3 linked regions of the Yarrowia lipolytica genome follow. The protein of the gene in region 1 interacts with the protein of each later gene in a pairwise test. Links are inferred from orthologs where the notes say so. Each region holds a gene or a part of one and is shown on either strand. Other genes may lie near its edges. The genes, in order: YALI1_B16944g, YALI1_D02362g and YALI1_E35023g.

The links.
Region 2: the proteins of YALI1_B16944g (region 1) and YALI1_D02362g interact in a two-hybrid assay, tested with the Saccharomyces cerevisiae proteins (2 studies listed by BioGRID). The link is inferred for Yarrowia lipolytica from reciprocal best matches to the Saccharomyces cerevisiae genes SIP5 and SNF1.
Region 3: the proteins of YALI1_B16944g (region 1) and YALI1_E35023g interact in a protein complementation assay, tested with the Saccharomyces cerevisiae proteins (2 studies listed by BioGRID). The link is inferred for Yarrowia lipolytica from reciprocal best matches to the Saccharomyces cerevisiae genes SIP5 and MMS2.

What each region holds. Positions count from the first base shown.
Region 1 is NC_090771.1:1,692,554-1,696,416, forward strand, and holds YALI1_B16944g (uncharacterized protein), read left to right. Parts: upstream 1-1,860; coding exon 1,861-3,354; downstream 3,355-3,863. Other genes in the region: YALI1_B16922g (uncharacterized protein), read left to right, coding at 1-354. UniProt on the Saccharomyces cerevisiae protein: May negatively regulate the SNF1 kinase by promoting the interaction of the REG1/GLC7 phosphatase complex with the kinase. Deletion of SIP5 promotes resistance to artemisinin, which is probably an indirect effect of an action on the electron transport chain.
Region 2 is NC_090773.1:234,246-238,581, forward strand, and holds YALI1_D02362g (uncharacterized protein), read left to right. Parts: upstream 1-1,970; coding exon 1,971-3,710; downstream 3,711-4,336. Other genes in the region: YALI1_D02345g (uncharacterized protein), read right to left, coding at 1-304; YALI1_D02348g (uncharacterized protein), read left to right, coding at 583-1,239; YALI1_D02399g (uncharacterized protein), read right to left, coding at 4,009-4,336. UniProt on the Saccharomyces cerevisiae protein: Serine/threonine protein kinase essential for release from glucose repression.
Region 3 is NC_090774.1:3,501,318-3,504,498, reverse strand, and holds YALI1_E35023g (uncharacterized protein), read left to right. Parts: upstream 1-1,973; coding exon 1,974-1,987; intron 1,988-2,125; coding exon 2,126-2,531; downstream 2,532-3,181. Other genes in the region: YALI1_E35027g (uncharacterized protein), read right to left, coding at 1-1,766; YALI1_E35012g (uncharacterized protein), read right to left, coding at 2,838-3,181. UniProt on the Saccharomyces cerevisiae protein: Has a role in the DNA error-free postreplication repair (PRR) pathway. Lacks catalytic activity by itself. The UBC13/MMS2 heterodimer catalyzes the synthesis of non-canonical poly-ubiquitin chains that are linked through 'Lys-63'.

The sequences.
Region 1 (3,863 bases):
GAACGCTCTTCGGTATGTTCTATGCCAGAGACGTGTGCCACTTCTGTTTCCGATCTCGACGACGATTACATGAGCGCAGAGACCGTGGCTGAACTGGCTAACAACAAGAACAAGCTTGTGGTTGTTATCGATAGCGCCGTATACGATCTGAGCGACTACAAGGCACAAAACGGACTAGTGCAAATGGTGCTGAAGTCTCTGAATGGCACAGACGCTTCGTGGCAGTTCTGGAGAATGAACACCCGACAGCAATGGGAGGAGATTCAGAAGTTTCGAATCGGAGTGTCAACAGGAGTCCCCACCAAGTACAGCCCGCCTCGAGAGCGCTTCTTCTCTCTAAGAAGAGTCTACTGATCATTTTTTTGACAGGTGTGGAGAAGACGGACAGGACGAGGAGAAGCATTAGACGAACTGGAGTCGTCACACTAACATATTTATAGCATGCATTACCAATCACACATAACCAAGAGGCAGTAGGCTAAGTATTCCAGTAGGTGCCTGTCGGGAGTAGTCGGAGGTTTAGGGGGGATGTACTGTACAAGTATCAGTACTCTCAGTCGAAAGTATGGCTACAATAGTTGATAAACAGCTCACAGAATGTAATTATGCCAGCTAAATATACCAACTATCAAAAGACTGTGCTTTGTAATGCTCATAATTATACTTGGGGGTCTTAAGTACACACATTTATTGCCTGTTGTCTCTACACGGCAACCCAAGTGAAACATGTTTCAGTGACAACGGCGAGCAAAGAACGGCTTTACAGCAAAGCAATCATAAAGGGGAGTTTGCGACACATAACAGACTCACCAAAATGAGTGTGGAAGCCTCACAGACGTCCAATGCGACATTACTTACTGAGCCATATTAGCTAGTCCTAAATATGATTGGGGTGAGAGGAGAAATAATGTGTGTACAGGTATGCTCACTTGAGTAAGGGAACTACAACCACGGCCCATCCGTGCTCAGCCACTTGTTCACGATAACTGCGCAGGCAACATATGCTCATACCCCTCCCCCACTTCACATGAAAAACCGGTGTCAGTGTCCTGGCAAAAGTTAGCCTCGGCGACCAGGGTCGCCTGCCTACCGATGTTATGCAGCAGGTTATCATTGTTATCGGTGTTATCGGTGTTATCGGGACTATCTGCGGTCACGGGCATATGTGTGGCCGATATTCCGACAGTGCACCAGCTTGCGAGCCGCGGCTTTTTCGGCTAGCGCAATTTATGGGGCTTTTCCTTTTAGAGCCCTTCCATGTGGTTTGACACCTTTGCAACCGCCGTTGTCCTTGCACCAGTAGCCGTTTTTGTCCATTCGAAATAGACTATGAGAGAGCGAGGCATTGGGAGAGTCAAGGCAATGGAGGGGGGAGCCGTTTCGTCGAGGACTGAGCTATGTACTGTAGCACCTCAACAGAAGTACGAGAACATAACATACTTAGAATGTTGGTACAATATACAGAACACTGCTACAGGAAACACCCATTATATATAACTTTTTTTCTTTTGGTAGATACACAGATATCACACAGAGACAGACACTCACAACGTTTGCACCCAATAACTTGCTCCGCCAACATGACAACACATGTCAAATGCATAGTATGATTGGTAACATGAGTGTAGAAACGAATACAACTACCGGTAGAGGTCTGTTGATGACAAAAAAATATATATTTACAGGCAAACCACATCGCAAATACCTTTTAGTCTGGTTACTATCACGTCCAAAACAGCCTCCAAGACTCGCTACACCCCCACCCCGCACGTGACCCTAACCCAAGATAAGCGCGCAACCAAACCTACACACCAGACTAAATATCGGACTCTCAAGACTCGTCTACACAGTCACTCTACCATGGGAAACGTTCCGGGAAAAGAACAGCAGGTGCGCAACGCACGGTCCGTTTCTGAGGACTACCACCGCGAAGGCCAGGTCAGATCCAAGAGGCCCTCTGCGCCTCGAGAAAAAAAGCGGGAGCCAAGAGTCTTTGTAGACCCCAATGAACAAGTGGATGGTGGCTATCTGGTGCCTCAGGGAGTCTACACCGGACCACAGGATTTCGACATTCTTGTTGTCAAGAGCCTGATGACTAGTCGCAAGCTTGCACCGTTTTTCAAGGGTCTACAGGACTATGAGGAGGAATGGACTGATCATCAACTTATGGCTGCCATTAGGGGCTTTCCTATCCCCAGTGCAGCATCAGAATCGCCTACAACCGAATCTACAGACACAAAAGACGCTTCAGCTTCCACCTCAACCCCTCACGCAATTTCCACACCTTCACATCTGTCGCCACCTACAGCTCCTCCTCAGGTGGCCATCTCGCCTCCCCGACACACTTTGTCATCGAACAACCCGTTCAGAGACCCGTTGGAGCATATGTCGCATCTGAGAATCGATCTGGACAACACCACGTTTTCCCAGAGCGCCCCAACACCGTCGTGGATGCGTTCCGGAGAACCCGATCAGGAGGACGGGGACGAACTCATAAACCCAGGCATTCTACAGTCCCCACCAAGCAGGGAGGCTCCCAAGCCACCACCCTCACGACAACGGGCCAAAACGCTCACCAACAAAGAGCCCCCGCTTATGGTCAAAATCTACAGAGACCCCATCGAGTGTCCCATTTGTTTTCTGTACTACCCAAACTCGCTCAACATGACCCGATGCTGTGCCCAGCCCATTTGCTCCGAGTGTTTTGTGCAAATGAAGCGAGCTGAACCTCATCCTCGACATGACGAGCCTGAACCTGACACGTTGCTGGGACAGCTGGATCTCATCTCCGAGCCCACAGCCTGTCCCTACTGTGCTATGTCCGACTTTGGAGTAGTGTATTCGCCTCGACACGGCCCCGGAGCCAAGGCTGCAGGAGCCAACAGTGCTGATGCCGCTGCAGCCAAAGGGAACGGTGACGAGTCTGCTATTGATGATTCGGGAGACTCATCAGACGGCATTGACACCACCAACATGGACGATGTGGCTGACAAGCTAATGCACATGTCCGGTGCAAAGCGTCGATCGTCCATCAGTGTCACCAACCCCAACGTCGTGACCGTTGATCGTGTGCGACCCGACTGGTCAAAGACGCTGGCTGCTGCTCGAGCTAGAGCTGCACGAAAGGCTGCTACTGCCAACGCTCTTCATGCCACGGCTTTTGTGGAAGGAGGCAATGGGGAGGTGGCTGGATCATCTAGATCATCGCGACGAACCCGCCAAAACCACGAACAACGGCAGGCTGCCCGTGCTCAGGAGTTGGAGCAGATCATGCTCTCAGAGGCTATGCGTCTAAGTATGCTGGAGAGCCAAGAGGCGGAAGAGAAGCGCTCCAGGGAGCAGGAGAGCAAGTAGGAAGCAAGAGTCAGGTAAAAGCGTTTGAAAAAGTCTGCCACCAAGAGCAACTTTTCCACAACCAACGAATAGATATTTATATGCATAGCGTCGAGAGTTGTAGAGAGGGTTGTAGACAGACACTAGCAGTGGAAATAAGCCAATTGCGTGTATGAGATGGTATCTGAAGGCACGATACATTATCCAATTATACAGTATTAACACATTACAATACAGTATGAGTAGCTACAATGTACGACGATACAGCTACTGTAGATGAGTTTAATGTTTATTGTAGCTACTTAGACCTTTCTATTAGCAGACAGTATCCAGTTGAGCTATGTAACCAAAAGGATTCTGCCTCGTCATATATCCTCAATACCGGATAAGTAGCAACCTGGCAATCAGGGGCCTACTACGTCGCCAAGGATCTACACTCTAGCCGCCGTAATTAATGCACTGCAGGGTCTGCAGAATGTCTTGTCTCAATTTGTGGTGCCTGCTTGAAGTGGGGTCGTATGTATATGGTA
Region 2 (4,336 bases), on another chromosome or scaffold:
GCACATGCTCAATGGCTGAAAGCAGCTTGATGACAGACAGTAAGTCGTGGGGATCGTCCAAAGAAGCCACTGTCGCAGCCAGATCTCGTTCAAGTAGCGTTCTTTCTGTGTCTGTTATTCGAGGACCATTGTGAGGCACTGCCATGAGATACTGAGTGTTGTCATCGAGCAGTTTTTGGAGCTGGGTTGCTGCAAAGCTCCCGCTTGATCGGTCGTAGCTGGATATTTCACATTTCGGTGGCTGCTTGCTGTATCCCGTTGCCAATGGCGCTGTGAACGGGTTTTCTGGTTTGTCAATGTTCATGTTTGGAGTGATGAAGGTTGAGTTGAAGATTGGGTTTGAGAGTGGCCGAGTACAGTGATTGGAATCGGTTCTTGAGCGTGATCAAAAAAGATTGTTGGTTTTTCAGGGAAACAAAAACGGTCCCAGAAATTAATCGCGCCATCATCTGTCCCTCTTATTCTGGCTTTTTTCTCTCCAGTCTCGCACCATTTCGGCGACACGCATGCCTCCTGCACTGCACTGTACATGCAGAACTATTTGTATTCTCCTCAGACAAGATCACCAAAGTAATCGTCACCATGTCCTTCAGAGGAGTTCCAGTATCATCTGCAGAGGCAAAACAGCGCCAAGAGCGAGATCTCGCCAAGTTGCGCGTGCCGAAAATCTACAGAGAGGCGGTGGACATGACCAAGGTGAACCGGCCGATCATCAACCGGTGGATCACTACGAAGCTGAATGAGCTGCTGCCAGACGACGACATTATCACTGATTACACCCTGGAACTGTTGGGTGGAGACAAGCCAGATATTCGGGAGATCCAGCTGAATCTGAACGGGTTTCTGGAGGAGAACACAGCCAAGTTCTGCAAGGAGCTGTGGGAGCTGCTGGTGGCTGCCCAGAAAGACAAGGACGGCATTCCGCCGCAGTTGATTGCCATCAAGAAGGAGCAGATGGAGCAGGAGCGGGTGAAGCGGGAAATCAAGATTGAGAGTTGGAGTGGTGGGGGCGGTGGTGGAAGAGACAGAGGTGATAGAAGGGAAAGAAACGACAGAAGAGACGCAAAAGGAAGAAACAGAAGAGATGGAGATAGGAGGAATGGCGATCGAAGAGACAGAGACAGAGATAGAGATAGAGACGACAGGTCAAGTCGTTCAAGTCGGTACAACCGATCAAGATCAAGATCTCCGACTGTCAAAAAGGAAACAGATGAATATGGCCGGGACCGGAAGGACTAACTGCATTATATATAAATATAGATTCTTGATTAGTGATCAAAGCATGAGATACTGTCAAGGCAAGCAAGCCTTACAATATCTGTTGGCTTAGTTAAATCTTTTTTGAGATGTAATAATTGGGGAACCTCTGTTAGATGAACAGTTGCGGCTTACTCATCTTAGACATGGTCCAGTTTAGGCGTAATTAATTATCAGTTTTAATGCGCCTCTACGTAATAAGCGTTGCCACAAGTTACAGTAGAGATGATACCATTGCTACAGGACCGTATAGCGTATATAATGACGAGGCTAATTGATGATGATCGACAGCGAAGACATATCTACGTCAATCTGACGCTTCATTTTGTGCTTCTTGTTCGGATTTGTGTTTCTCCCAGTGCACCCAGTTTTTTGCTGACCATTTTTTGCTTACCAGTTTTTGCTCGCGCGTTTTCTCGATTGAACTCTGCTGCGAGGGTGGTGTAAGACACACTCCCTGTAGAACATGCATTTCGAGGTGTGACATTTCCATCTCTGTTAAATCAAACGAGTGACACAAACGGAATAAATCTACATATACGTCGAACCCTCTTCTTCTCTTCTCTCTCTTCCTTAATAGACACCCTCGCTATCGACTCTGCTCCTCCTTATCACACCATCAAAGTTTAGGGTGTGTCCCAACACCACCTCCACACCACACTCTATTATCACCACCTCCACGACTACATACCACTCCTTCCACCACCTCACAAATGGCGACCGAACACGTGGAACACGCCGAAAACGCCAAGCAGTCGCCCCAACCGTCCTTCTCGGGCTCCGAGAGCGGCCGAATTGGCCGGTACCAAATCATCAAGACTCTGGGAGAGGGCTCCTTTGGCAAGGTCAAGCTCGCCTACCATCTGGCCACCCACGAAAAAGTAGCGCTCAAAATCATCAACAGAAAGACGCTGGCCAAGTCGGATATGCAGGGCCGAGTCGAGCGGGAAATCTCGTACCTGCGACTGCTCAGACACCCCCACATCATCAAGCTGTACGACGTGATCAAGTCCAAGGATGAAATCATCATGGTGATTGAATTTGCCGGCAAGGAGCTCTTTGACTACATTGTGCAACGTGGAAAGATGCCCGAAGACGAGGCTAGGCGATTCTTCCAACAAATCATCTCCGCAGTCGAGTACTGCCATAGACACAAGATTGTGCACAGAGACCTCAAGCCCGAGAACCTGTTGCTCGACGAAAACCTCAACGTCAAGATTGCCGACTTTGGACTCTCCAACATTATGACCGATGGTAACTTCCTCAAGACCAGTTGTGGCTCTCCCAACTATGCTGCTCCCGAGGTTATCAGTGGCAAGCTGTATGCTGGCCCCGAGGTCGACGTGTGGTCCTGTGGTGTCATTCTATACGTCATGCTGTGCGGCCGTCTCCCCTTTGACGACGAATTCATCCCCAACCTCTTCAAGAAGATCTCCAATGGTGTCTACACCATTCCCCCCTATCTGTCTGCCGGCGCAAAACACCTGCTTCAACAGATGCTGGTGGTCAACCCCCTGAACCGAATCACCGTCCAGGGCATCATGGAAGACCCCTGGTTTAAACAGGGCATTGCCGAGTACCTTGTTCCACGTGACCTGAAGCCTGATCAGGTGGAAATCGACGACAAGGTTGTGGGTGCTCTTTCAGACACCATGGGCTACGACCGAGACCAGGTCTACGAGGCTCTCAAGGCTCCTAAATCCGACGGAACCGAAATCCGAGATGCCTACGACCTCATGAAGGAGAACAGACAGCAGTTGGAGAAGGACTCGACCGTGTTCGACAAGGTGGACGAATCCGGCAAGCCTAAGCACCAGTTCTCGCGAAAGAACCCGCCGGCTCTGACGTTTGACTCACATCACATGCCCACCATTGTCGACCATTCTGATCTTCGAACCCCTAACACAACCATTGCTGTTCTTCCCTCCTCGCTGCCAGCATACCATCGGGCCAACATGATGGCCCATGGTCCCGCTACCCTGCGTAAGCTGAATCCCATCTCATCGCGAAAATCAAAGACCCGATGGCATTTCGGCATTCGGTCCAAGTCGTACCCTCTCGACGTGATGGGTGAGCTCTACCGAGCTCTCAAGAACCTGGGAGCCGAGTGGGCAAAGCCATCAGAGAACGACCTGTGGACCATCAGGGTGCGATGGAGATACACCCCTGAAAAGGATGAGTCGGACAGCACAACTAAGCCAGACAGCGGACTGCTTAAGATGCAGATTCAACTGTATCTGCTGGAGCAGAACTCGTACTTGGTGGACTTCAAGTTTGACGGCTGGGAGTGCGAGACGGAGAGCGGTGAGATTAAGACCCGCGATGTCGCCCAGGTGTCGAATTCAAAGTCCGCCAACGAGACCTTCACGTTTTCCGCATACCCCTTCTTGCATCTGGCCACCCGGCTCATTATGGAGCTGGCCGTGAGTTCTCAGAAGGAGAGTGAGAAGTAAGCACTTGTAGAGCACACTAGGGATTTAGAGGGGATTATGGCACGTACAATATAGATAATTAAGCAGTAGCTGAGTCAGTTGAATGATCAGAGGTGTAACATGAGTGTGGATGGATTGTGTAGAGTCGTTGTTTAAAATAATGAGTTAAGAATAATTATACGACTACAGGATACGATGTACTTGTATTGTATCGATACAGTACATACAGTACATACGTGTAACATACTCCTAAACTGTTGCATCACCTACAACTCCAACTAGTCGGTCATAATTCATTAATACGTTTCCCTGGTGTAGTCTAGGCCAAACACTCCTTGGTGAACTTCTTGAGAAAGATTCGCTCTCTAGACTCCTTGAATTCTCTAGGCTGGATTTCGGCCCAAAAAGAACCCACAAACGGCGCAATACTCTTCTTGTAGCCGGAATAGTTGTCTCGAATGACAATATCCGGGTTGGCAGACCGCTGCTGATGCTCCTTGACGATGATACTCTCAAAGTGGTCCACGGTAGACATGACAATAAGAGCCGACGAGGTTTTGCTCTTGTAGTTGGCGATGAGCGTTTTAAGTGCCCCAGAGTTCTCCACCACCTTGTGGATCAGCTGATGCTTTTGTTCCTCGCTGAGT
Region 3 (3,181 bases), on another chromosome or scaffold:
GCCAGCTTATCTCTGACACCCTGGAGTTCCAGCTGCTTTCTCTCAAGTGAAGCCTGGGGTACAGACTTTGAGTTTTCGTTCTTGCCCATCAGAGCCTCGTTCTCAGCTTTAAGTGTGTCCAGCATGCTTTGCTTGACAGCTTCATGGCGAGAAGTTGGGTTCTCACGCAGCTCAAGAATTCGCACTCGTGATTCCTGGCTCTTCTCAAGACTCTCAAGCCGTGCCTCCAAGGCCTCCTTGGTCTTTGCAAGAAGTCTGGCCTCGACAGAGACCTCATCAAACTCCTGCTGAAGAGTCTGCAACTTACGTGTGTACTCAGATATGACTTCTGACGATACACTATCGTCTGCGCGAGGTCGTTTGGTACCTGCAGCAACAGTACACCCTTGCTCGCTTCTTGCCTCCTTCAATTCACCTTCCAAAACACTCTTCTCGTTCTTGACCGCTTCTAACAGTTTCTCCAGCTCGTCAATACGACCCTGCTTAACGTCAGCGCCAGCTGCTGTGACCTCCTCATCATCGTACGCCTTCAGCTGCTCTCTAAGGAACTTTGCCTCGTTGGCAGCAAGTGTGTGCTGCCTGATAGAGGTAGCAACTTTCTTTTTCTCTGTCTTGAGTTGGTTTTGGGCCAGCTGCAGCTCGGACTCAAGGGTGGTGACTCGCTCTTGCAATCTCGCATATGCTTCAGCTGTAGACCGGGTTTCATCATTCACTCCTGAACCGGCACGCTCCAACAAGCTAGCTTTTTCCATTCTAGCCTTGTTAAGAGCTGTGACAACCTCCTCCACAGTTTTGAACTCGTCCGATTTTTCCAAATAGGCCTTCCACTTGGCGCTGTTCTCCTCATGTACCAGAATTTGCAACTGCTGTTCCGCTAGCTGTTGTCTGAGACCTTCCATGTTCTTCAATTTACCCTTCATGCTACTCAGATCTTCTTCATAGACCTGACTGAGCTGCTGTGCAGACTCAGCCGCCTCTACTCTCACTGTCAGGGCAGACACTTTCGCCTCCAGTTCTCGCGAATACTTGATCTGGTCAGAAAGTTGACTTTTAGTCTGCTCCACAGCCTCCAGATCTTTGGCCGACTGTTTGAGATCCAATGATTCGCCCTTCAAGGATTCTACCAGCTGCTCGAATTTAACCACGTTCATTTTAGCTTCTGTGAGGGCAGTACCTCTATTCTCAACCTCCTTGAGCAGATCGTCAGTCGTTGTAGATGCCGCCTTGATTCTGTGTTCGTAGTCTTCAATCTTGTAGTTCATTTCCGACACAAGAGCTCGGTTCTCCGATTGTAGATCATTCAGCAAGTCCTTCAATCCTTCCAGTTCATGATTCAATTCACGTCCATCAGCCTCATGCTGAGACTGAAGAGATCGCAATTCCTCTTTAAGCGTGCGATTTTCGTCTGAGAGTTCTTTTTGTTTGTTGAACAGAAACACCTGGTCAGACTCTGCTTGTTCAGCTCGATCCAGCTCTTTCTTGTGCTTGGCCTCCAGTTCTCGCTCCTTTTCCTCCTGCAGAATCTGAGCAACCTGTTGCTCCTGTTTGAGTGCCTCCAAATCATAGCGCAACTGCGAAATCGTTTTTTTAAGCCCGATCACGTCTTCTCTAGGGGTTCTTGAAAACCGACTTGCGGTGGATGGTGTGCCATGGAGCGAAGGTGTGGCGTGTGTAGATCGAACTGGAGAGGGGCGATTACTACTGAAGAGCGCTTTCCTGGGGGTTTCCGGATGCTCAATGAACGGCGATGAGGGAGTGTCCGACATTGCACCGTTGGGGTATTATGATGACTGTGGTCCGGTGGTTTTGGTAGGTGTGAGCGTGATGTTGGTGGTAGAAATTAAGGTTCCTGAACGTCGTTGTCCCAGCAACCGGCCTTACGTTACCCTCATGCATCTTCCGAGCACGACGAGCTAATTACCTTGCCTACTTGACAGCTTAACCTCATCTAGAACACCAAAAACGACAACATAATGGCCGCCAAAATGTGAGTATGGGGAGGAGGAAGTGTGGGAACAACCGTTGTTTTGATTTAATCGCGGATTTGACTTACGTATTCCAAGCAAACGCCCAGAACCCCTAACTACATGGTCACGCAACCTCACCGTCCGGATTACTAACTCAGGCCCCGATCATTTCGACTCCTGGAGGAGCTCGACAACGGTGAAAAAGGAATCGGATCCGAAGCTTGCTCGCTAGGACTGGCCGATTCCGACGATATCGAAATGACTTTCTGGAACGGAACCATCCTCGGACCTCCCCACTCTGCCCACGAGAACCGCATCTACTCGTTGACACTCGAATGTGGCCCCGATTACCCCGACCAGCCCCCCACCGTCAAGTTCATTTCGAAAATCAACATTCCCTGCGTTAACCAGCAGAGCGGCGTGGTGATTCCCGCCAACCTGCCATGTCTCGCTCACTGGAAACGAAGCAACACGATGGAGACGGTGTTGCTGGAGCTGCGAAAGGACATGGGCCAGCCCGCCAACAGAAAGCTGCCCCAGCCCGCCGAAGGCAGTACTTATTAACCATTGCATTAGAGTAACAGAGCATGAGCACGAAAGAAGTACTGAGAGTACGGTATCCTGACACACAGTAGAGTGGCAGTGGAGTCTTGGGGTCAAAAGAGAACTGCCCAAGAACATCGTAGATCTTGATAACTTATATTAGTACTATTTACAAAGGTGACATCGTAGAGGGTTTTCCTAGGCGTTCAATTTAGGAGTGGCGTCTCTCCCCGATGCTTAGAAAGTGACAGCTGTGAATAGAGTGGGGGAGGGTGGGATAGACTAGTGTGAGATAAAGTCCAAACTCGTTCTCCAATCTGTGCTTACCTAAACAGGCTTCTCATACTCCTTATTTTCAGCCAGCTTCATCGCCGATCTGAAGTCATCCAGCGGGTCGATATCCCGAATGTTTTTCAATGGGACGTTCTGTGATTTTGTCGTCACCTCATACAACTGCTCTCGTCCGTTGACCTGACATGCTCGAAAATATCGTGTGAAGGGAATCAGGAGCTGTACTCCATTTGCGGTTTTTGATTCATACTGTACCAGCTTCTTAAGAGGACACTCGTCCACGTGTTTTGGCATCTTTGCGCGAGCCTCTTCCCTAGTGAGTACTTTTATCGGCGGTGACATGGTGTCGGTGTATTGTAGATCGAGATGGCTGAGGGATG